Caenorhabditis elegans: one gene and its partner. The protein of the gene in region 1 purifies or fractionates together with the protein of each later gene. This does not show direct contact. Each region holds a gene or a part of one and is shown on either strand. Other genes may lie near its edges.

What was found.
Region 2: the proteins of ints-7 (region 1) and Y105E8A.11 fractionate together in Caenorhabditis elegans (co-fractionation; one large-scale study listed by BioGRID). This does not show direct contact.

What each region holds. Positions count from the first base shown.
Region 1 is NC_003280.10:11,581,083-11,589,155, reverse strand, and holds ints-7 (Integrator complex subunit 7), read right to left. Parts: upstream 6,308-8,073; 5' UTR 6,307-6,307; coding exon 6,143-6,306; intron 5,838-6,142; coding exon 5,306-5,837; intron 5,069-5,305; coding exon 4,931-5,068; intron 4,165-4,930; coding exon 3,841-4,164; intron 3,790-3,840; coding exon 3,052-3,789; intron 2,376-3,051; coding exon 2,203-2,375; intron 2,152-2,202; coding exon 2,031-2,151; intron 1,983-2,030; coding exon 1,884-1,982; intron 1,301-1,883; coding exon 1,142-1,300; intron 1,095-1,141; coding exon 1,014-1,094; intron 971-1,013; coding exon 767-970; 3' UTR 665-766; downstream 1-664. Other genes in the region: F07A11.1 (uncharacterized protein), read left to right, coding at 1-24, 172-455, 508-632; Structural maintenance of chromosomes protein 6 homolog smc-6, read right to left, coding at 6,675-6,815, 6,872-8,073.
Region 2 is NC_003279.8:14,430,874-14,434,277, forward strand, and holds Y105E8A.11 (BolA-like protein 3), read left to right. Parts: upstream 1-1,917; 5' UTR 1,918-1,919; coding exon 1,920-2,091; intron 2,092-2,648; coding exon 2,649-2,797; 3' UTR 2,798-2,877; downstream 2,878-3,404. Other genes in the region: hpo-13 (Non-lysosomal glucosylceramidase), read left to right, coding at 546-810.

The DNA of each region.
Region 1 (8,073 bases):
AGTTGAAAGGAATCAGACTTTCAAGTTCGTTTTCTTTTTCACGCAGAACGGTTTTTGCTACGTGGCCTAGAGAAAAGGAAAAACTCGGCCACTGATTTGACCGAGGCTTCTTATTTCACGGCCACGAAGTAAAACCGCGCTGCGAATGATCCAAAAATAAGATTTTTTCAGACAATCAATTGGAATGCTGGAAGAATTTAAAGCTCGTCAAGCTCATGATGATATGGTGATGAGAGATAATCGAAGAGCAAAATATGATAAATTGAGAGATCAGTTGCATGAAAATTCGAAAATGTTGTACCCATTGACCAAAACTGAAAGCCGTCCGATAATTGTTCAACCGGATCCTAGAGTTGAAGCTGCCTGGCGAGAAGCTCATGAGAAATACGATCGAAAGTTTGCAGTTTTACAGGATAACGCTATGAAGAGCATTTCTGGAGCAGCATTAGATGGAGGTATTGTTTGAATTCAAATTTAATTTCATTAGATGAATCTGAAACTTTTCAGTTGCCCATGCTACCACCTCCTGTCGTCGTTGTGCTCGGTGTGCTCGGCCCATGGAACGGAAGACCACCCTGTTTGTTAATCGTGGTGAGACAATTTTACCTCATCAAGCTAATTGGCACTCTTAATTTCATTAAAGTTTCAACAATTTCTAGTTATTTTTAAAATCGAAATAAATATTATTTTTGTGTCGATTTAAATAAAAAAAGAAGGAAAAATGGTTCAAATTCAAAATTATTCACGATATGCTCTATTTCTCTGCTCACGCCTCAGCATGAAACAACGATCCTTTCGGAAAGTGCCTCCTGGGATCCGGTGGAAATTGATGTCCGACTCGTTTCAGCTCGAATCCGACCGATGAATATTTCTCGCGAACTGTGAAGTGAAGTGTCGTCACATTATACGCTTTCCACTGCTTTCGTGATGTTTGATCAATGAATTCGATTCGGAATTTGACGTCGCATGCCTGAAAATTAAAATTTTTTTTTTGATTTGGTGGTTATTTTTACAGTTTTAAAATTGAGCAGGAATTGCGCCGTGAAGTAGTTGTTCTCGCTCGGCTCAACTAACTCTTGCAGAATTTGATTTTGCTGAAAATTATAAAATTTATGGACTTTTCGTTGAGAAAGGCTTATACCGCATGATTTGCCAGATGTGTGATTTCCGCAAAAACAATGATGGATCGAATTGGCGATGGATGTGTTGATGTGATGGCTCCATCTACACGGACAGGGATTGTCTCACCACTGAATACGTTTATTGTCTTGTCCTTTCCAGCTTCTGGTGATGTTGAAATCTGAAAAATTTTGGTGGAATTAATTTGAATTAAAAAATTTGTAATTTTTAACTTGTAATTTTAAAAAGTAATAAAACTTGTTAAAATTCAAATTGATGATGGTTTACGAAAACAATTTTTTAATTTTGATATTCTGAATCAGGGGTGGGCTGCAATTGCCGAAAATTTTCAATCCCGGCAACTTGCCGATTTGCCGGAAAAAATCGTTTAATCGTGTTAAATCGTGGTGATGTGGGTGTACTGTAGGGTTACTGTAGTTTAGGAAAATATGCAATTTTTTAGTTTTCGAAGAAGTACTGTAGGATCCTTTTTGAATTTTAAATTAACGATTCTCATTGAAACGGATTCAAATTTAATTTTTAGCTGAAAAATTGTACTGGAATGAGCACAAATTTATTCTGATAAAAAAATGTTATTTGGCAGGAAATCTTTTTTTTCAATTTTCCAATTTTTATTTTAAAAAAATTAATTTTTCGGTAAAATATCAACTTTTTTACGTTTTTTTTTGTTATTTGCATATTTCCGGAGAAATTTCAGTATCTTCTAGGAATTTTCTAATAAATTTGATTTTTTCTCCGGCTACCTTGAAATCGACGTGATAAAACTGCTGGAAGAAGAATCTCGGAAGCATGTATGGTAGAATGGTCAATTGATTTAGAATGGATAGTAGCGTTTTGATAGTCTGAAATTAATTTTTTTTAAAAAATTCTCCCGAAAATTGTATTCTCACATGAATATTGGGAGAATTTTCATATTTCAAAAGTCGAATTTTCTCAATAATCCACTGAAGTCGCTCTCTTTGAAACAATGAACATGTACGGGCAGTTGTCAATGGTGGAATTTGAATTATTCTGTAAAATTAGCGAAATTTATTTTCACAAAAAAATAAAAGAAAAACCAACGTTTCTGAAGATTGTTTTTTAAGAACGACTCTAACCGCAACGAGAAGAATCGAAACCCGCAAATAGTAGAGAGTTATGAGATCGAAAGATGTTGAATCAGCACAAAAACTCGCTCGGCACAGAGCTGACCATTCGTTGAGAGCTTCATTTATAGACAATTCGCATGAGGAGAGCTGGAATTTTTATTTTATTAGTTTTCAAATGGACTTATTTTTTGAAATTATTTTCTAAACAGTATTGTCATGCAGTGAATTTTGCAAGGCACATTTTCGGATTAAAATAATTTTCAGAAAGAGATAAAAAGCGGTGCGTGGTTTTGCAAGACTGCGGCGCAGTTTGTTGCATGTCGATTTACGGGATAAATTGTACTACACACGGTCAAGTGCGAATTTTCGCTTTTTTCTCGTGGTATTAAACACAATTTTCCCTGAAATTTTTGTTTTTAGACTATTTTTCCTTATTATTTTTGTACTTAATATTGAAAATTACCATTTTCGAACATATTTACAAGGTTTCAAGTCAAAGTCGATATAATCATTGCTGACAACAAAAAAAATCGTTTTCTGTGCATTTTAACAATGAATACATCGTCTTTGAAAACTTGTTAATATGTTAGAAATTCGTCATTTTCAATATTAAATACAAAAATAATTAGACAAAATTGTCTAAAAACAAGAATTTCAAGCAAAATTTCATTTAAAACAACGAGAACAAACCAAAATTCCAACTTGTCCGTGTGTAGTACAAATTCTCTCGTAAATCGACATGCAACAAACCGCGCCGCATGCTTGCAAAACCAGACTCGTTCTCCTTTTTTGTCAATTTTTTTTTAAAGAAAAAGTCACTAACCGCCACCAATAATCGTTGCGCAACGACCGGATTGAAAAACGAATTAGTTTGAAGAGCACCGGATAATGAGAAAATAAATGGACGAATCACAGAGAGTAGATGGAAATGTGCATATGAACTTGAGAGCATCGCAGAGACCATCCCAATTGGAAATCGAAGATCATTGCCAAATCTAGTATTTGATTTGCCTGATTTCAGTGCAGACAAGGCACTTGACAGGTGGGACTGCTGCTTTTCAAGCTGATCAGGCTCTATTTCGAGCAATTGAGAATCTGCGATTTCTCGAAGAGCTGTGATCCATTTTCTTTCAAATTCTGGGAGACTGGACAAGTCAATGCTTGCTAAATTTGGAGACGCCACATGCTTCCACTGTCCATTTCTGAATGCGCTCCTCGCGGTACCATACATTGAAGCCTGACAATCCTTGTAGAAAACTTTTGGAAAATCATTCGGGAGACTCGTTCCAACAGCAAGGCACAAATATGAGAATTGACTTGGATATGCGGAGAATAGTTTCACTTGTTCCTGCATAACTTTGCATGCCCATTTATGAATTTCTGGAATGTAGAGCTTCTCAGAGTCCACGAGTCGACATAACATTTCTAGACGTTCTTTTTGATTATTATCATTTGAAACAATGGACTCAAATGCTGAGAACACAGCTGAGATTATCATTGAAGAAAACGAATGATCAGTGTACGGGAATGATAGGAGAATGTCACCAATTGCACGGAATAGCTGAAAATTTAATAATTTAGAAGGAAAAAAAATACGGTAGAGTTTTTGTACCTTATTAGCAAGTCTATTTTTCAATCTTCCACAAGTGCAAGTATTTATCACAACAACTGTCAGCGAGGTCATCGTTGAATTGATAAACTCTGGAGTGTCATCTTCAAATGTTCTCGGTGAGCACACAACTTGTGAAGCGAAATAGACGAATCGAACGGTGACTTCTGGATTCGCCAGGGATCCATATCCAGTGCTGGATATCACGAGACCTTTCAATGCGAGAAGATTTTCCTTCGGACAGTTCTTAACAAGTGAAGTTGTGGCATCGAAAAAGTCCATTAGAGATTCATCGATCATTGATGGTCGGAGGGATTCCACGAATATCTGGAATTAGCTGTTTACTTCGTGGATTTTTTTTTGTTTTTTTGGTGTTTTTGGCAAAAATTGATTTTTTGATTTTATTCCTTTTCTTTCGGACTTGTTTCTCATTAATGTTATGTTTTAGTTGGTATGATGAAAAAAGCTTTTTTTTTTGAAGAAATTCGATTTTTCGTTTTTTGGTCGAATTTTTTTTTTTTGCAACAGCCTTGGTTCAGATACTAAAACTGGCCCAAAACGACCGATTTTTTTTTCAATCGAACGTCTTGAAATTTTTTTCAATGTTTCGAATTATTCAGACGCGAAATTTTTCGCTTAAATTACGGTAGCCGGTCTCGAAACGACATTTTTTCTTTAAATGTGGAAAGGTGTGTGCACCTTCAAGGATTACTGTAGTTTCAAATTTTCTTTTTTTTCGACTTATAAAAACTATTAGTTTTTATGTTGTATTTTTGAGATCCAAATAAATAAGTGCATATTGTTATTGAAAAAATATGTAAAAATCGATAAGAAATTCCGCAAAAAGAAGGATTTGTAACTACAGTAATCTTTAAAGGCGCAAAATTTTTTGTGTTAGCCAAAATGCGTATTTTTGGCTTAAAAATCTGAACATTTCGGTGGCGTTTTGCAGTATTTTTTTTTTGAAATTTAATATTTAAATTTATAAAAATTCAAATATATTTGCGTATGAATTTATGAATTTACAAGTTTTGAAACGTGAAAATTTTCAAAATCCTTTTCTTCACATTAAAAACACAAAAAAATTCATTACCAGCACTTGCTGCTCATTCCAAATATTCGGAAAATTTGCAAGCCGTCTCAACTGCCTCACAATAATCATTCTTCGATTTCGGGATGGACGACTCGTCCTGGTGTTGGATGGACTGAGAAGATTGAGCAATACGTCGATCTGAAGATGGAAGGACAATTTAAAGAGGAGAAAACAGCGCCAATGGAAAAATGTTGCTTCAAAAACAACCAAAGGGTTTTAAATTCAGAAAAATCATAAAAGAAAATCGAAAAAAAATCGCTAATTAATGATGAATTTTACATTTAAAAACGCGATTTTCCATATCTTCTGTGGTTTTTCTGATTTTGAGACTATTTTATATGAAGCAAAATCTCCATGCTCACTACACCGACATACTTGTTTCGAAATAGCATATCGAATCTCAATGCACAAACTCGTCGTAGACTTCAGAAATGCGTGAAAGTAATCGTCTGTTATAGTTCTGTGAAGAATTGTGTCAGCAACAGAGAACACTTGCTCCACAACTTGAGCTGTCGCACTCATTGTAGAAAATGCTGTGCATAGTTGAATCTTCCGTGGCTCTGAAGCATCATCTTCTTCAAGAATTTTTCCGATTTGAAGAACAATCGATTCGGCGAACGAATGGGATATTGATGCGAATGCTTTGAGAGCATTACATGTTGCTCGAAATTCTCCTTCATGAGTTGTGGATAGAGATTCTCGAATCAAATGATGTGATTGATTGGATTCCGGGAGTAAAGGTGATAACACAGCGAGCACATCCAACACATTTTCTCGAGCATTTGGATCGTTTGAGTGGCTAACTGTCAGAATTCTTCGGAATATTTCTGCAGAGGAAAAAGCCAGTGTGAGATGTGAGCCACATTGTCCAAGAGCACGAGCGATGGCGATGCGCAAGTCCAGATTTCTAGAAGATTAGAAAATATTAAAATTAAATATTAGAATGGCCCAAAACTACGAATTTCGTAATGTTATCGCGGTCAAAAGTTTTGGAAAAAATACAAATTTTTTGCCAACTTGACCAAAAGAAAACAATTTACGCGATTTCTAGACTTGCCAATTTTACAAAATTGGGGATTTTAGCTGGAAATATGCTTTTTTTCTGAAACTTTGCAACTGAAGAAGCTATTTTTGGAGAAATTTTTAGAAGGGCTCATCACGAGATTCGGCCGTTTTGTAACCAATTTTTAATTTTCAGAATTATTTTCTTACCCATCTTTAAAAGCGTCAGCTACACGAAGAAGCATCGCATTCACAAATGTTGGCGCTGGATTTTCTTCGAAAAGCCTGCTGAGCGTCGAGATTGTTGCCAGTTGCTCAGAAGTGCTCCCACGGAGCCCCTTATCAAACAACTGGGCTTGAGCGGTCCCAGACATTCTGAAAGATTTCCAATTTCAATTCCCCTATTGTAGAAATTGAACAAGATAAAACAAAAGTGAAATGAGAATATTAACTCGTTTCGATAGAAATGGCTCAATAATTTAAATTTAAAATGATTCTTTTCATTTTACTAAAGACTTCAAAATAAAGTGGGTAAAAAAATAAAGTATGGTATCAGGAGGAGATTGGAATTTAATTTTGTCATGGGGTTGGTATTTAGGAGGACAGGGGGCTTTAAAACCAATAAAAAAGATCGTTAGGGTCCGATAAAAAATATATGGGGACTGTAAAGCATTTGGAATGAGATGCACAAGAGAGAAAGATATCTTTAGTTTACAAATTATCAACAATTTATTGCCAATATCTAGTCGCGGACTCTGTTCATCTCGAAAACTTGAAGACCATCGACCATGTTGAGTTCCTTGATTCCTTGTGGAGTGAAGAAGATGAACTGATTGTGAGGGAACTTCTTGGTGGCCAGCTCGACGAGCAAATCCATCACCAGCTGAAAAATAACAAAATATTTAATGTTCATACTGAAAGAGTCCTACAAGATCTCACCTTTCTATTCATCATGTCCATAAAGACATCAAACTCATCCATCATTCGGAATGGCTGCTCCATAACTTCCCACAAGGACATGACGAGTGCGGCAGTCACAAAAGACCGTTCTCCTCCGGATAATCCTTTCAGATCACGAACTCTCTTCTTTTTCTGGCCGCTCTTCTTGGACTTCTTTCTACGCGGACCGGTACTATCGTCACTATCATCATCATACGAATGCTCGTCGACTTCTTCTACCTCAAGGACTTCAGGTCTTCGTCCAGCCATCGCATCCTTCTCTTTAGAAGATTGAACATTCACATTAAGTGTCTCCTTCTCGTGATCGAATTCGAGACCACCGATAAAATGACCTCGAACTGCGAGCAACTCCTGGAACTTGTTACACACCTTCAATTCCGTGAACTTTTTCAAGCTCGGATATGCTTTTACACGGGCTGCATGAAGATTTTTAAGCTCGATGAGAACATCTTCAATCATGCGACACAGATACTTCAACCTTTTCAGTTTATCTTTAAAGTCTTTAACACATTCAAGAGTAATAGTAGTGTCACATCCAACTGTTGCTCTGTCAACTGCTTTCTGCATTTCTTCGATCTTTCTCTGAGCTTCAGTCGTCGACGGGAAACTTGAAAGATCTGGTGGATCTGTCTCGCCAGGTGGCATTGGATGATTCTTTTTGTCGTTTTCCACCATTTCCATCGCATCGTCTCTTTCAGATTTGAGTTTCGCCTCTGTGTGGAAGAATACACCTTCGTCAGCTTTCACTTTATCGAGACGAATTTTGAGAATCTCTCCGGCGTCGTCATACTTGCTCAATTCGTTTTGAAGTTTCTGGGATTTACTTGCAAAATCTCGTGTTTCTTTTTGAATTTCCGCTAGCGTATGTTCCGCTTCTTTCCTCTCTTGAATAACTGGAGCCATGTCTGCAGTGATGTCTGCCACATTTTTCAGAATATCTTTGACTTCATCCTCGATTAAAGGAATCTTTTTCTGCATTTCCTCAATAGATTCATTCAGATTTTCCACTTGATCTTCATTCGCAGTTTGCGCCAATTCTGCTCTCAAATCTTTTGCCTGACGTTCTTTCTGCAATTCTTGAGATCGAAGATTTGACAATTTTCTATCGAATTCATCAATTGCAGCTTTCGTCTGATCACGCTCATTATATATCACTTTCAGCTCATGATCTTGTTTTCGCA
Region 2 (3,404 bases), on another chromosome or scaffold:
ACGCATATTTAGTGTTCATATAATACGTTTTATAAAACATTAAACGATAAATTTAAATTTCCCGAATTTTGAACTCGAAAAACTGAAAATCGAAAAAATTGTGAGGAAAAGAAATTTGTTGAAAAAAAAAACTGAAATTTGTTTTTTTTAATAGATTTTTCCAAAAAAAAAAAAAAAAAATTTTCCACACATTTCTAAAAAAAATCCCAAAAAAAATTCAAAAATTAGAAAAAAATCCAAAAAAATCAAAAATTATTTTTTCAAACTTCCAAAAATACTCGTAATCCCAAAAAAAAAAGTTTGAAACTTTACAAAAAATTAAAAAAAAACATTAAAACTTTTTTTTTTTTGATTCCAGAAAAATTTGGATATTCAAAAAAGCAAAAATTCATAAAACTAATTCCAAAAAATGGAAATTTATTTTTAAAAATAGAAACAAAAAATTCATATCCAAAAAAACAATAATTTTGGAATTTTTTTTTTATTTCCAAACATTTTTTCTTTAAAAAATCCCAAAAATTAATCCTAAAATATCCGAATTTCAGATTCTACCGAGCCATTGGTTACATGCGTCCTCTATCGATTTGGGCAATGCAATGGTCACTAAAAAAGCATTGTGGAATGAATACGAGTGAAGAAAAATTGCCGAATTTGGTGAAAAATGAAAAAGTTGTTCCGGAATCCGAAGCAGCAATTCAAGTACAGAAACAACGAATATTAGGGGATACAAGTGAAGATGGTTCGAGTTTAGGATATGTTAGTGATTATCATGATGAGAGGAGTATTCCAAAGATTGCTACACTACGATAATTGTACTTTTTAACTGATTTTTTTGGATATTTTCCCGATTTTTTGTATTTTACGTGGTCTTTTATTTTTCGAATTTTCGATTGTGCAATGACGTTTTTACAATGCAATACAAGTATTTTTTTGAAAAATTTTTTCTGATTTTTATATTTTCTGTTGTCCATTTAGGATATCAATTTATGCTATTTGCCTTTTTTTTTTTTTTTGGAAAAAAAATTTGAATTTCTTGAAAAAGTTAGCTAATTACGGTGTTTTTTAGGATGAGCTTTTTTTTTTGAAAAATTAAAAACATTTTTTGAATTTTTTCCTCAATTTTTTGAAAATGTTATAGTAATCACGGAAGCTTAAATTTAAAAAAAAACCATTTAGAATTTTTTTTTCACAATTTTGAAACTGATTTTTTTTTTTGAGAAAATTCGCATTTTTTCAACAAAAAAATTCTGAAAAATGTTGACAATCTGTATTTTTAAGCTAATTTTTAAAAGCTTAATAATTGGGAAAAAAATCAAAAAAATTCAATTTCATGTAATGTAAATTATGCATTGCAGGTGACTTTTTGAATGTAAAATTTGAAAAATTTGATTAAAAAAAGTTTTTTTTGAATATTTCGCTAAAGGAATACTTTCTAATTAACTAGATAAATATTTTAACTTTTAAAGCATTTTCTGGTAATTTTTTGGAATTTTCAAATATTACGAATTTTTGTCGAAGTTGAATTCTAGAAAATCTTTAAAAAAGTTTGAATTTTTTGAAAATTTTTTCGAAAAAAAAAAATTTAATTACTTTTTTGAAAAATAGAACAAATGTAACATTTATTATATAATATATAATAGTATATAATAATATAATAATATTTAATAATATATAAAATATATAATAATAATATATAATAGAACATTTATTGATTTTTTTTCGAAAATTTCAATTTTTTTTCTAATTTTTAAACTAAAAAAGCTAAAATTACGAATTTTCGGCATTTTTCAGAATTTATAAAAACCTCGAGAATTTGAAAAAATAACAAATTTTTTGTTTAAATGTGAAATTTCTTGTTTTTTTTTCTCTCCAAATCTGAAAAAAATCGAAAAAAAAGCTATCATTTCTCGAAATTTCAGATGCTCCGCCTTGCCACCCCACTGAGATCAGGCCTCCTCTCCTCAGCAATCAGGCGTCACTCGGCATGTTGTGGTGGAGAGCACAAAATGTCAGAAGCCGAGCTGAAAATGAGCAAGTTGCTCACTGAGGGAATTGATGGATGTACTCGTGTCGAGGTTCACGATGTTTCTAGTGAGTACGCTACAAACTACAATAGGCATACTACAGACTACAAAATATACACTACAAACTACAATAATCACACTACAAACTACAATAGACATACTATAAACTAGTATAATCAGACTAATATTTGTAGTTTGTAGTCTATACGTGGGGTATTCATTCATGATTTTTTTGTTCCGCTCACAAAATTAATGGTAGAAATAATGAAAAACAAGTTAGTTACTGTATACTATAAACTACAAACTACAAACTACGAAATATAAACTGCAAGCCAAACACTACAAACTATAAACTATACACTACAAACTATAAAATGTACACTATAAATTCCAAATTATACAACACTAACTACAAACCATACACTACAAACTACAAAATATATCCACAAACTACTATCTATACACTACAAACTACAAATTGTATACGACCAACTACAAGCTAAACACTACAAACTATAAAATGTACACTATAAATTCCAAACTATACAAAACTAACTACAAACTCCAAAATATACCCTACAAACTACAAACTATACACTACAAACTACAAGCTCCATATTACAGATGGCTGCGGATCAATGTTCGACGTGGTCGTTGAAGCCGCCGGTTTCAAGGGAAAATCGAAAGTTGCTCAACACAAACAGGTCACCTCCATTCTCCGGGAGCAGATTAAGGATATGCATGGGCTCACGATCAAGACAAAAGCCGCCTAGATACTAATTATCGATTTTTTTTGTCTAGTTATTGATTAGTTCAAAGGACATAATATCGTAAAGAATATTTTAAATTCGAACTTTTTGAATATTGTAGATCTCTTTTTTTGCAAAAAAATCGAAATTCGCGCGCGCTAATCAGGAGATCATTTACCAATGGATTCGATGCACATGAGATAAAATATTGGGAGAAAGGGGAAAATATCTGAAAAATGGGTTAGAAATGGCTGAAAATTACGAAAAATCGATAGTCGATGCACCATGACGCCAGTTTTTTTGCTGAATTTTGCGAAATATAGGCCTGAATTGTGTGAAGTCTTAAAAAGGGCGGACTAGAAGATAAGCCTGTAAATTTCGATCTGAACAAAAAATAGTCAGAATATAATAGTTCTAAGAATGTTTAATACTGTTTTTGTACAACATTATGTATTTAGTTTATCCATGTCTTTATACAATACAACTCTTATTTTATTTCATCACGAGTTTAATCGGTAATAAATCAAATCAATAGAATTATTTTATTAATAGAATAAAGGTATAGGATGTAACTGCCACTCACGCACACTGATCGATCTTATAAGGGTTTATTAAGTAAAAGGGAACAGAC